Yarrowia lipolytica: one gene and its partner. The protein of the gene in region 1 purifies or fractionates together with the protein of each later gene. This does not show direct contact. Links are inferred from orthologs where the notes say so. Each region holds a gene or a part of one and is shown on either strand. Other genes may lie near its edges.

Region 1 (4,681 bases):
TCCTCCAGAAAGGCCACGATGACGTAGCCAATGAGAACAACGTTGGCCACAAAGGCAGCCAGACCGCCGGAAATGAGAGTATTGTCAGTGAACATTTGGGCGGTGAAGAAACAGGTCAACGGTAAGAGGATCATGCATGCTGTGAAGAAGACAAGCTTGTTGAGAACGGATCTGTGTTAGTTGTTGCGACAGCCAAGTAGTCAATGCCACCCAATGCAGTGGTAGCAGATACTCACCTTGGGATGTCGGCCATTTTGTGATGTGTCTGTTGTTTTGCGTGATGTGTGTGTTCTGATGTTCGACGTCCAACTTACTGTATTGTAGCGTGGTGATGTGCGGGAGCCTGCCCTTAGTGAACCTTGATGCCAAAGCTAAATGAAAATGAGACGTGCGTGTCTAACATTGACACCCACACTGAACGCGATAATGAAGCCGAAATTGACGAAGAAGCGAAAAACGGTGCGAAGGAGCGCACTGAACAGACCTCTGGAGACCGATCAACGGCTCCAGGTTGCAACTATTCTCGAAGAAGCAACTTTCCCCATACTGGCAAGAGCTCACAGCGAACCTAAGAAGGTGCGGATATCAGAGGACCTGGGACACTTGCAACGACGTCTTTCGAGACGTCTCGACCGGTTCCCCGTGCCGAAGTCGCTCGGCAATAATTTCGACGCTTCACATCAATACACTCAGATGGAAAAGCTTGAAAACAGCGGAGCCAAGCTGGCACAGCAGATTGAAGCACTGCAGGAAGTGACGCGTCGCCGGACAAACGAGCTGGCCAGAACTATTGAACAGCACCAGAAACTGGCTCAAAAGAGTCTACAATTGGACAACCAGATTGAGGAACGAAGGGGGAACCTCCATGCACTTTTACAAGGCAGTGCGGAGAATGTGGCTGAGGAAAACGCAGCTATCAGCTATCGATACTGTGAGAGAGATATCGATAAGGAAGTGCTGGAGCCATTGGATCAAGATCTTACCAAAATTGTTGATATTTTAGACCATTCGAGAGTCCTAGAAGTGTCTGCGAAGGTGGATGAATTCTTGTGAAGGACTGCGAGTTCCAGTGAACACATCCTTGCCCACCAACGTACTGTAGCTACAGTACAAGTACTCACACAGTACATCCGGTATTTGTAGAGAAATTATTTATTGAATTATTTATTAGAAATGTTATCAAACTAATTGCTATACAATACTACTTCATGCTGCAATGTAGACGAACATACCCGATGAGTGACATCAGACCTACCGATCTGTATGGACTGTACAAATAGTCATGGGCACGTGACTGGTAGTGTGCCAGCCCCAATAATGTAGCCTTCATCTGGTCCATTGGTCTTAGAAACTCGTTCTTTTGAGGTCAATTGGAACCACCTGCCACGCAGAATGTATGCGAGATATATAATGGAATGATATGAACTCTTATGTTGCGTTGGCTGTGTGAAACTCCCGCGTTCCTTATCCCTTGAGAGTGTATACAGTAGACATGATGATAGCTACTGTATTGACAACGGTTGATTAAATTAAGGATCTGTGGGATAGGTAAGGTCAGGGTTCTGGGGTCTTTGTGCTTGCCAAACTAAGAGCGGATTAAGCCTGTATATTCCGTGCAAAAAGGTGTGTGCCCATATTTCTTGCCTAACGCAGGAAAAACTCGTGGACTTGTATCAGAATTGAGACCACATTAGCGGTACTCGTACAGCTACAGTACTGTACGTACAAGTACAGTATGTGCAATACGTATGTAGTCTGTGTCTGTATTTCACACTCCAAAAAGCGACTACTTGTAGATTCGGGCTAGGTTCACGGGAATCGAATAATATGACCTCAGGTGGGTGTTCCCGCTGTGTAGTTGTAATTGAGGGGCCCCCGTTACGGCCCATATATATATTTCGCATAAAATTGAACCTCGTTTCATGTGTGCACTGTTGTGTGTTGCCCCACTGCATGCGTCACATCAACATCACGTACGTAGTACAGTAAATAGTCCCAGCGAGGGGGGCGCATTTGAGTTTCCAATCTTCCACATCACCACTCTAAGGAAGCATCGGCGTGTGCAGCCATACGAGATGGCAGAGATCAAGAAGAACCAAAGCGGAAGCCGCCAGCGCAAGTCCGTGGGAGGGGACCGCTCTGACCGCTCCGATCGCTTGGACCGGTCCGACCGAGACCGGGGCGATAAGAAGACGGCCAACAAGTGGAAGCGACCTGAGCCCAGCCCCACTCACGCTCGCCACATGCACGACCGACTGCTGTTTTTGCTAGCCAAGTCCGTGGGTGAACACGTTACCGTTACCACCGCCTCCGGCGACTCTATCCACGGCTTGCTGGAGGGAGCCTGCACTGAGGGCGACTTGGGAGTCAGCATGCGGTTTGCTGACTCGGGGGCCAAGCAGCTGGTTTTCCAGCCCGAAGACATTGTCGACGTGGCTGTGGCTCTATCCGCGCCCTTACAGGTCGACCAGCGCAAGTTCCGAACCGACACAGACATCAGTGGCCGGCGGGCAGTGGCTGAGCGAGAATTGGAGCGATGGACTCCGGATGCCGACTCCGCCACCTCTGCTCTGACACTCGAGGAATCGGGCACGGGCTCCTGGGACCAGTTTGCAGTCAACGCCGACCGATTTGGAGTGCCCTCCACCTACGATGAACACCTCTACACCACCCGTATCAACACGGAAGGTCCCGACTACCAGGCCAAGATGCGACGGGCCCAGCGATTGGCAGACGAGATTGAGGGCCAGACTGGAGGAAACGCGCATCAGCGAGAGGAGCGAGGAGACACGGTGGATGACTCGGGCATGGACGAGGAAGACAAGTACTCGGGAGTGGACCGAACTAAGACCTATGTTCCTCCTTCTCAGCGAGCCGAGCTGCCCCATGACCCGGCCATCATTTCTGCCGGAGGACTCAGGAAGCCAAACCCCACATCTTCCCAGCCGGACATCATGTCGAGACTGGAGCAGAAACTGGTGGACTCGGCTGCAGTGCCCAAGCGCAACCGAATCCCCGGACTGCCTCTCAACGACCCCTCTGCAACAGCCGCTCCCTCGGCCTCCAAGAAACCCGGATTCGAGAAGGAGCTGGCGTCCCGATACCAAAAGTTCATTGACTTAGAGCGAAACCGAATGGTGTCGCAGAAGGAGGCTGCCAAAACTCACCATGATACCGCCCGGCTCAACGACCTGCGCAAGTTCTCACAGGATTACAAGATCAATACCCCTGTTCCCGAGGACTTGCGTCCCATCCTGGCCAAGGACAAGTCTCGAGACGTTTCCGAGACCACTTCCCCCGAGGCGGCCAATGCACATCTGGACCGAGTGGCTTCGCCCATGTTCGACTCACTGTCCTCCAAGCTCTCGTCCATCCAGATGAGCCGGGAGGCCGACAAGAGCTCCGAAAAGTCGTCTTCACCAGCTGCCGCTGACAAGAATGGTGGAACAGCTGCTGACAACAAGCCTGAACCCGTGGCTAAGTCGTCGCCATCAAAACCCAAGTTCAAGATGAACTTCAAGGCGCCCGAATTCAAGCCCTTCACTCCCAAGGACACCAACGCCCAGCTGGCGACAGCAGCCGCTCCCGAGCCCAGCTCTCCAGCTTTCTTTTCTTCTACGCCAAAGACGGACCGGGCGCCTCTCAGCACCTTGTTCAACCCCTTCAAGAAACCCAAGGCCGAAAACACCCCCTTCCCTCGAGCATTTGAGACCCACCCGACCTGGCACACCGTGGAAGCGGCAGCAGACTCCTCTGTTCTTTTCCCTCCCTTAGAGCAACTGACCATGCAGCGCCCCTTCCTTCACAACGCCATGTCTCCCCAGCGGGGCGGAGCCGTGATGATGCCGTTCTACCAGATGCCTCAGGGAGTACCGCCCATGATGTATCAGTATGGCCCCCAATTTGTGCAGCAACCTTTTGGACCTCCTGGTTACCGAGTTCCCATGCCTCCTGGACAGCCCCCTCAGGGCTACATGCGATACCAGGGTTAGTATGTAGTGAAATAAAGAAAAATGAGTCGATATATGATTACACAAAACTAGTGGTATTTGAATGCTGAACAGAATAGCAGGCTCTGTATGCCCAGAATTTCTTCCAGAAATGCTTCCACTGTGTTTATATGCTCCCCTTGTTCGCCTTCAGTGTGTACAAGTAGGCTTGAGAAGCGTGCATGCTAGATGCGTCCACCAACCTACTGTACTTACATTTCTTCATATGAAGTGAAAGCTACACATACACACCACTATGAATTGGGAAAAGGGTCCCGTCTGTGGCATCGACAATTGTCCCTCGGACTTGTGGCGGTCGGCTGCTGGTCGTACCTTCTGCAGATACGGTCATCAGCGCCAAGACGAGTATGAATACGACAATCAAGACGAAGGAGACCTGGGTGGAGGACGAAAGGTGACTATAGGTTCGGTGAGTGCCATGAAAGATGGAGAGAAGGAGGAGCAACGATGGTTTGGTTCACGGGTCTATGCGCTTCGTGCACAAATCTTCCAGGAGGTGCTTCGCTTTTACACACACTGGGCCATGCAGAAATTCGATTTGGATACCGACTTCGAGGAGGTGGTGAAGGAACTGTGGAGTGTCTTGATCAAGTATACCGACTTCGGACGATCGTCTTACGACCTGGAGGGTGGAGTGCATTCCGAGCCATGCGATACAGGTACAAGCACTC
Region 2 (6,547 bases), on another chromosome or scaffold:
GGAGCCTGGGCGGCACTCTCCGCAGCAGACAGTGCGCTTTGCTGTTGGAGTCGCACACGCACCACATCGAATGGTGTGACTATTAGAGACGTGATGATTGATCCGGTGCATGCAGAGAGGATTTTTTGGCCTACCGTCACCGAGGGCACGGGAGGTGTCAACGGGCTGGTTGGAGGAACAAAAGCCTCGTCTGGACGATGCTGGTGGATTTTGTGTACCAGAGGTGGCATTTTGGGGTGGTGAGAGTGAGAAGTGTTGTGTTGCGGTTATAATGTCTTGGTTGAGTGTAACGATGTAATGTCCTTGGGGTGCTGTTTACAACCGTCACCTTCCGTGTCTATCGTCTTGTGTCGTTCGTGTCGCTTGTGACTCTACCGCACTTGTGACTCCTCTGCTGTAACAGGTCTAGTTCAAGTAGAATGATCCACCGCGGACTCTTGCCAAATGTTGGTGCTGAAACTTCTAACTCTATCTGTCCCGTGCAGTGGTGATGGCGATGTGCAGTCACGTGGGACGGGGACTGGTTTGGGAGCAAGTCGCGGTGGTGTGGGTCGCACAATGTTATATAAGTGGGGCGCGCATGTCGAAAAACCGCTTCCGTTATAGCTACGACGATAATGTGGCTCTCTATACTGGCAGTGTGGTGCACCCATCTGTCCATGGCGTATCTCCGAACCGTGCGTCTCTCCCAACAGTTCGCTTTAACTATAGTATGTGCATGTACGATATCTGTCAGCGGGAAAAGTTACTCCATGGACCCAAAGGGAAAGTTACTCCAGCTCGTTGGGAGCGAGGATGTAAAGGGCAGTTTAGTGCGGACTGGAGAACAGTTCTGCATGCGGATGACTCGGAATGATTCGGGGTGTCAAGTGCGGCCATGTACTGTACGTACGATATTCACAGGTGTCGGCATAGGCTTGGTTTTGGGTGGTGTTGGATGATTAACCAAGAATCAAGTCTTGTTAGGAGTCGGTTGGACATGGCTTAGAGTAACACAAGGGCACTATACATGGAGGGATAATGGAGGACAAGAGATATATATGAAGATGGCGATGAGATATAACGAGTACTCAGACAGTTCTGGATAGAAGTTGGTTGAATGAAGACCTTGTGACAGTATGTATGAGATCCGAAGATCCAAGGCCATGGTCACCTGAATCATAATTTTTTCGACATCAAGATATCACCAATGTTGACCCAAGGACGTCATTAGTCATTGGACTATTTTCGGCCTGTGGAGATAGTCACCTGTAGGTACAGTACAGTACATACTATACGACGTACGGTATGTACAGTATGAAACCGTGCACGCGCTACAATTTCTCGTCAAGTACGACTATCGTAAGTATGTACTCCTCAAGTTGAACCTCCGAATACACTTCGACCGCGACTGAAGCCGCCATGGTACGATAGGATGTCTGGGTAATGATCAAGAAAGCGAAATGACATCATACTCCAGGGTCAGCTCAGCAAGCCCGATTTGGGCTGTTCTGACTTCCCCTGATTTACATATCTTCAGTAAATATTACTTAAATGTTGTCCGCTATCGACCCACTCGTATCATGCATGTCCCATACGGCACTGGAGATATCGACGGTGTAGAAGCGGCCAATGCACCGGTATTTGTACAATACACAGTACATCTAGTGACATCATGTATCGAGGCAAAGGACAGTCCCACGACGAAGGTGGTCATGTGAGTCTAACCATCCACAAATCGGTTTTTTTTGTTCATTTTATTCACGCCTCAGTTTGTCGACATCTCACTCACTCCACCAATAGTAGAACATTACCCCATATCGCAATCTAAAGTGTTCACTCCTAATGGTATGCAGCGCACTCATATAGTGTCTCGTGACAGCGATAGATGGGAGTACCCAAGTAGGCGTACACATACATTTTTAGACGGGAAAGGCGGTTAAAAATATACACCATGTCCCACTACCACAAAAAACGATCTTTACTGTTGTCTAAATCACCTACAACAGTCTCAACTCACCAGTCCTCAAGTCTCCTCTAAACCACCTCTCAAACTCAAAGTCACACCTCCACCACTACATCACCGCACATCACACCAGTCACCCCATACTTGCACCTCACATCTCTGACATGAACGGAAGTGTGACATCGGTGCAATCGGTGCATTCGCCACAACGCCGGATGGAAGAGGATGAGACGGTCAAGTCCACCGCTTCCAAAACCTATGTGCGCCATGGATTTGACGACGACTACGCCAGTGACGCCTACATGTCCATGTTGGCCGAAATCTTTTACATCTACCTGGACGACAAACGCCACGACACTGCGGGCAATCCGAAACGGTCTTCTGCCGACGGCCCGCCCGAATGGCGCATGAAAGACCGACAGAGAACAGTGTCTGCAGCCATTGTGGTGTGTCTCAACCTGGGAGTGGATCCTCCAGATGTGATCAAAACCGACCCCTGCTCGCGACTGGAGGCCTGGGTGGACCCACAGACCATCTCAGACTCCAAGAAGGCCACGGAGCAGATTGGAAAACAGCTACAGATGCAGTACGAGGTGCTGTCAATGCGAACCCGGTATAAGCAGTCGCTGGACCCCAATGTGGAGGACATTAAACGATTCTGCATAGGACTGCGACGAGGTGCTAAGGAGGAGCGAATTCTGTTTCATTACAATGGCCACGGAGTGCCTCGACCTACAGCTTCGGGCGAAATCTGGGTCTTCAACAGAGGCTACACACAATACATTCCTGTGTCTTTGTACGACCTGCAGTCGTGGCTGGGCTCGCCATGCATCTACGTGTGGGATTGCCATAGTGCCGGCAACATTGTCTCTAACTTCAAGCGCTTTGTTCAGCAGCGTATCAAGGAGGACGCTGATGCACAAGCACCCAATGGTGTGACCAGTGCAGCTTCAGGAAACGGAAATGCCTACCTCGATTGCATCCAGCTTGCAGCCTGCCGGGCCGACGAGACTCTGCCCATGCACCCAGACCTTCCGGCAGATCTGTTCACGTCATGCCTGACGTCCCCAATTGAAATTGCTGTGCGATGGTTCGTCATGAAGTCTCCCTTGGCTTACGGGAAGAAGATCAAGGATCTGCAAATCCCAGGAAGAATTACCGACCGAAGAACCCCCCTTGGCGAACTTAATTGGATTTTCACTGCCATAACCGATACGATAGCCTGGACTTTGTTGCCTCGCGACCTGTTCAAAAAGCTGTTTCGACAGGACCTGATGGTCGCAGCGTTGTTCCGAAACTTTCTGCTGGCAGACAGAATTATGCGGGTCAACTCATGCCACCCAGTCTCGGACCCTCCTCTTCCTCCCACCCATTCTCACCCTATGTGGGATGCGTGGGATCTAGCAGTCGATCAGTGTCTGACTCAGTTGCCTGCTTTGGCTGCTGGACAGGAGTATCGCCACTCGCAGTTCTTTGAGGAACAACTGACAGCCTTTGAGGTGTGGCTGCGATACAATGCTCGAAGTGATAACCCACCTGTTCAGCTTCCTGTTGTTTTACAAGTGCTGTTGTCACAGGTCCACCGACTACGAGCGCTGATCTTGCTCTCCAAGTTCCTCGATCTTGGACCCTGGGCTGTCTACTCGGCGCTCTCTATCGGTATCTTCCCCTACGTGTTAAAGCTGTTGCAGTCCCCCGCTAAGGAGCTAAAACCCGTGCTTGTTTTCATCTGGGCTCGAATAATGAGCGTGGACCATCAATCCATTCAGCACGAGCTGCTCAAGGACAATGGCTACGCCTACTTCATCCAAATTCTTCTCCCCTTTGAAGGATTTGCCGTTAACAACGTGAACGTCCATGACCACAGAGCCATGTGTTCTTTCATCATCGCACTATTCTGCCATGGTTTCAAGCAGGGTCAGCGGGTCTCAATGGGTGCTGATCTTCTCCGGGTGCTCGTGGTTTACGCAGCTGAGCCTGACTCTCCACTGCTTCGACAGTGGTCCTGTTTATGCATCTCCCAACTGTGGTTCGACTACCTAGAGGGCAAGTGGCTTGGAATGAAGGAGAGAGTGCCCCAGAGCCTCATTGTGCTGCTTGAGGATCCTGTTCCTGAGGTCCGAACAGCGTGTACTGTTGCCTTGACTGCATTCCTTGGCAATGGAGACGCTGATCACATTTCCCAGGATTTCAAGGACGTGGAATGCGAGCTTGCTAACGCTGTCCTCAAGCTGACTGACGACGCCAGTGGTATTGTTCGAAGAGAAGCAGTCGTATTCTTTTCGCGTTTCGTCGTCCAGTACCAAGGTCAGATTCTGGTTGCTGCGTTTGCTACTCTCGAGCAAGAAGCTGCTGCTGTCTCCCAGATGAACCTCAACACCTCGTCCAATCCTGCCACCGGTACCGTGTTTGCTGCCGTGTGGGAGGCCGTTCTGACATTTGCAGAGGACCCGTTCACCGAGGTGCGTGACTTTGCACGTGACGTGGTTGATCACGTCTTGTTTGAGATGGGCCAGTCGCCTCTGGGACCTCGAATGGAGCAGCTCAAGCGAACCATGCTGCAGGGAGCCGAGTCCAAGAAACAGCTGCCTAGCGTTTCCAACCTGATTCCTTCGTCAGAGTCACATCATCATGCTGCTGGTAGTCCTGCTCCCCAATCTCCTGCGATGGCTCCTCTAACGCCTACTGCATCTTCCACCATTCAAAATGCCATTGCTGCCGACAGGGCAGCTTCTTCTCCTCTCAACTCGCTCAAGAGGTCTGTCTCGAAGTATCTATTTGGAGACAATGAGCCCAGTGGAACAGCAGCCCAGAAAACGGACTCATCTGTTACAACTGTTCCTTTTGGCACGGGAACCATCCCCGTGACACCTCGTTACACATCGCGAGCTGCAGGATCACGTGCTCAACTCCCTCTGAAGTCCGGGTTTTTTGCTTGGTCCACGGAGTTCTTCCAAGAGCCTCAAATGGTGCCTGCGGAGGCCGACTGTACTGGTTCACAGCGGTACACTGAGAGACTGTGGCGAAAGACCCGCAACGAGAGAATTATCTCCGAGTCGGTGCTTCAGCGAGACGAAGCTGTCAAGGGCAAGTGGGATCACTCTCTAGGTGTTCTCAGCAACAAGACGCAGCCTCAGAAACTCGTTTTTGCGCAGTTTGAGCCACATCTGGCAGTAGCTGACGACCGAGACGGTGTTTCTATCTGGAACTGGGCCGAAAACAAGCGTCTGTCGCGGTTCTGCAACGCCAATCCTGCAGGAACCAGAATCACCGACGTCAAGTATCTCAACGAAGACGACGTTCCCATGCTCCTCACAGCCTCCTCCGAGGGATGTGTGCGAATCTACAGGCACTACGAGTCGCGTCAGGATGTGCAGTTAGTGTCTGCTTGGAGAGCTCTTTCGGGAGTCGGTCTGCAGGCCTCTTCTCCCGTAGCTGTAGATTGGCAGCAGTCTCGAGGAACACTGTTGGTTGGAGGTCCCACACGAGTGGTTAAGGTGTGGGATGCTCCCCGAGAGATGTGCATGGCTTCCATTCCTGCTCGGTCTTCTGCCCCTGTGACTGCCCTCACCTCCGACCAGGTTGCTGGTCACATGTTTGTGGCTGGTTTCGCGGACGGGGCTCTGCGTCTGTTTGATCGACGAGTCGATTCTCGAGACGCCATGGTCAAAATCTGGAAGCTATCTCGAGGTATCAGACACTCTGACAAGGTGCTCAACGTGTGCATGCAACGAGGAGGACACCGAGAGCTGGTATCTGGTTCGGCAGACGGAGTCATCAGTACATGGGATATCCGAACAGACACTCCTCTGCGGTCTTGGATTGCACACACCAACGGCATGAAGGCCATGGACGTGCATGAACATGCACCTGTGTTGGTTACGGGCTCTCAGTTGGTGCGAACGTGGGACTTTGATGGTCACATGACCTCGGTAAACAAGAACCACCCTGGTTATATGACCCTTCCCAACCGGGTAACCTCGGTTAACGCTTTGTCGTTTCATCCTCATCGGCTGGTGATGGCATCTAACAATGTGAATGACGGCACTGTGATGTTGAGATCGTGTTCGGGCTTTCTCAAGAGTGATTTCTAGTTAGTTTTGGCTATTTAATGCATTTTAATTGTACCTTAGGTCAACTGCATAGTTCCGGTTTCAATATATTGTACAACTGCAGCGTATACCATAAGTGTACGATACTCTTCGACCACCTCTACACCTACAGTATGCACTATGTACTACAGTATCTGACTCATCTTGAACTTACCCAATCCAAGTACACGGGTTCATACTGGTATACACATAAATATCTTGCTCTATATACATACGGCCTGGTTCAGACCTAATTTTACGCGTCGTTTTTACCACCCAGATGCTTGTTCTTGTGAACATACTTCAACAAGTAAAAACACACACTGTTAGAGATGCCCTCGATTCGCTTAGCTTGTCCGAGAGTGGCTGGACGAACTTTATCGAGAACGGTTCGATACTCGATTTTGAGACCCGCCATGGACATGTAATCGAGGTTCTCAGGAAGCTTCAGGCTTTCATCTCTCTCGACAGAAGCAATCTGCTGGCGTTCCTTATCCAAGTACATCTTGTA

The links.
Region 2: the proteins of YALI1_B30146g (region 1) and YALI1_E08271g purify together in Saccharomyces cerevisiae (affinity purification with western blotting, with the first as the bait; 3 studies listed by BioGRID). This does not show direct contact. The link is inferred for Yarrowia lipolytica from reciprocal best matches to the Saccharomyces cerevisiae genes PBP1 and KOG1.

Annotation. Positions count from the first base shown.
Region 1 is NC_090771.1:3,011,911-3,016,591, reverse strand, and holds YALI1_B30146g (uncharacterized protein), read left to right. Parts: upstream 1-1,922; coding exon 1,923-3,992; downstream 3,993-4,681. Other genes in the region: YALI1_B30163g (uncharacterized protein), read right to left, coding at 1-171, 237-253; YALI1_B30162g (uncharacterized protein), read left to right, coding at 376-1,053; YALI1_B30123g (uncharacterized protein), read left to right, coding at 4,246-4,681. UniProt on the Saccharomyces cerevisiae protein: Involved in pre-mRNA polyadenylation. May act to repress the ability of PAB1 to negatively regulate polyadenylation. Negative regulator of poly(A) nuclease (PAN) activity.
Region 2 is NC_090774.1:825,056-831,602, forward strand, and holds YALI1_E08271g (uncharacterized protein), read left to right. Parts: upstream 1-2,109; coding exon 2,110-6,039; downstream 6,040-6,547. Other genes in the region: YALI1_E08253g (uncharacterized protein), read right to left, coding at 1-230; YALI1_E08334g (uncharacterized protein), read right to left, coding at 6,293-6,547. UniProt on the Saccharomyces cerevisiae protein: Component of TORC1, which regulates multiple cellular processes to control cell growth in response to environmental signals. Nutrient limitation and environmental stress signals cause inactivation of TORC1.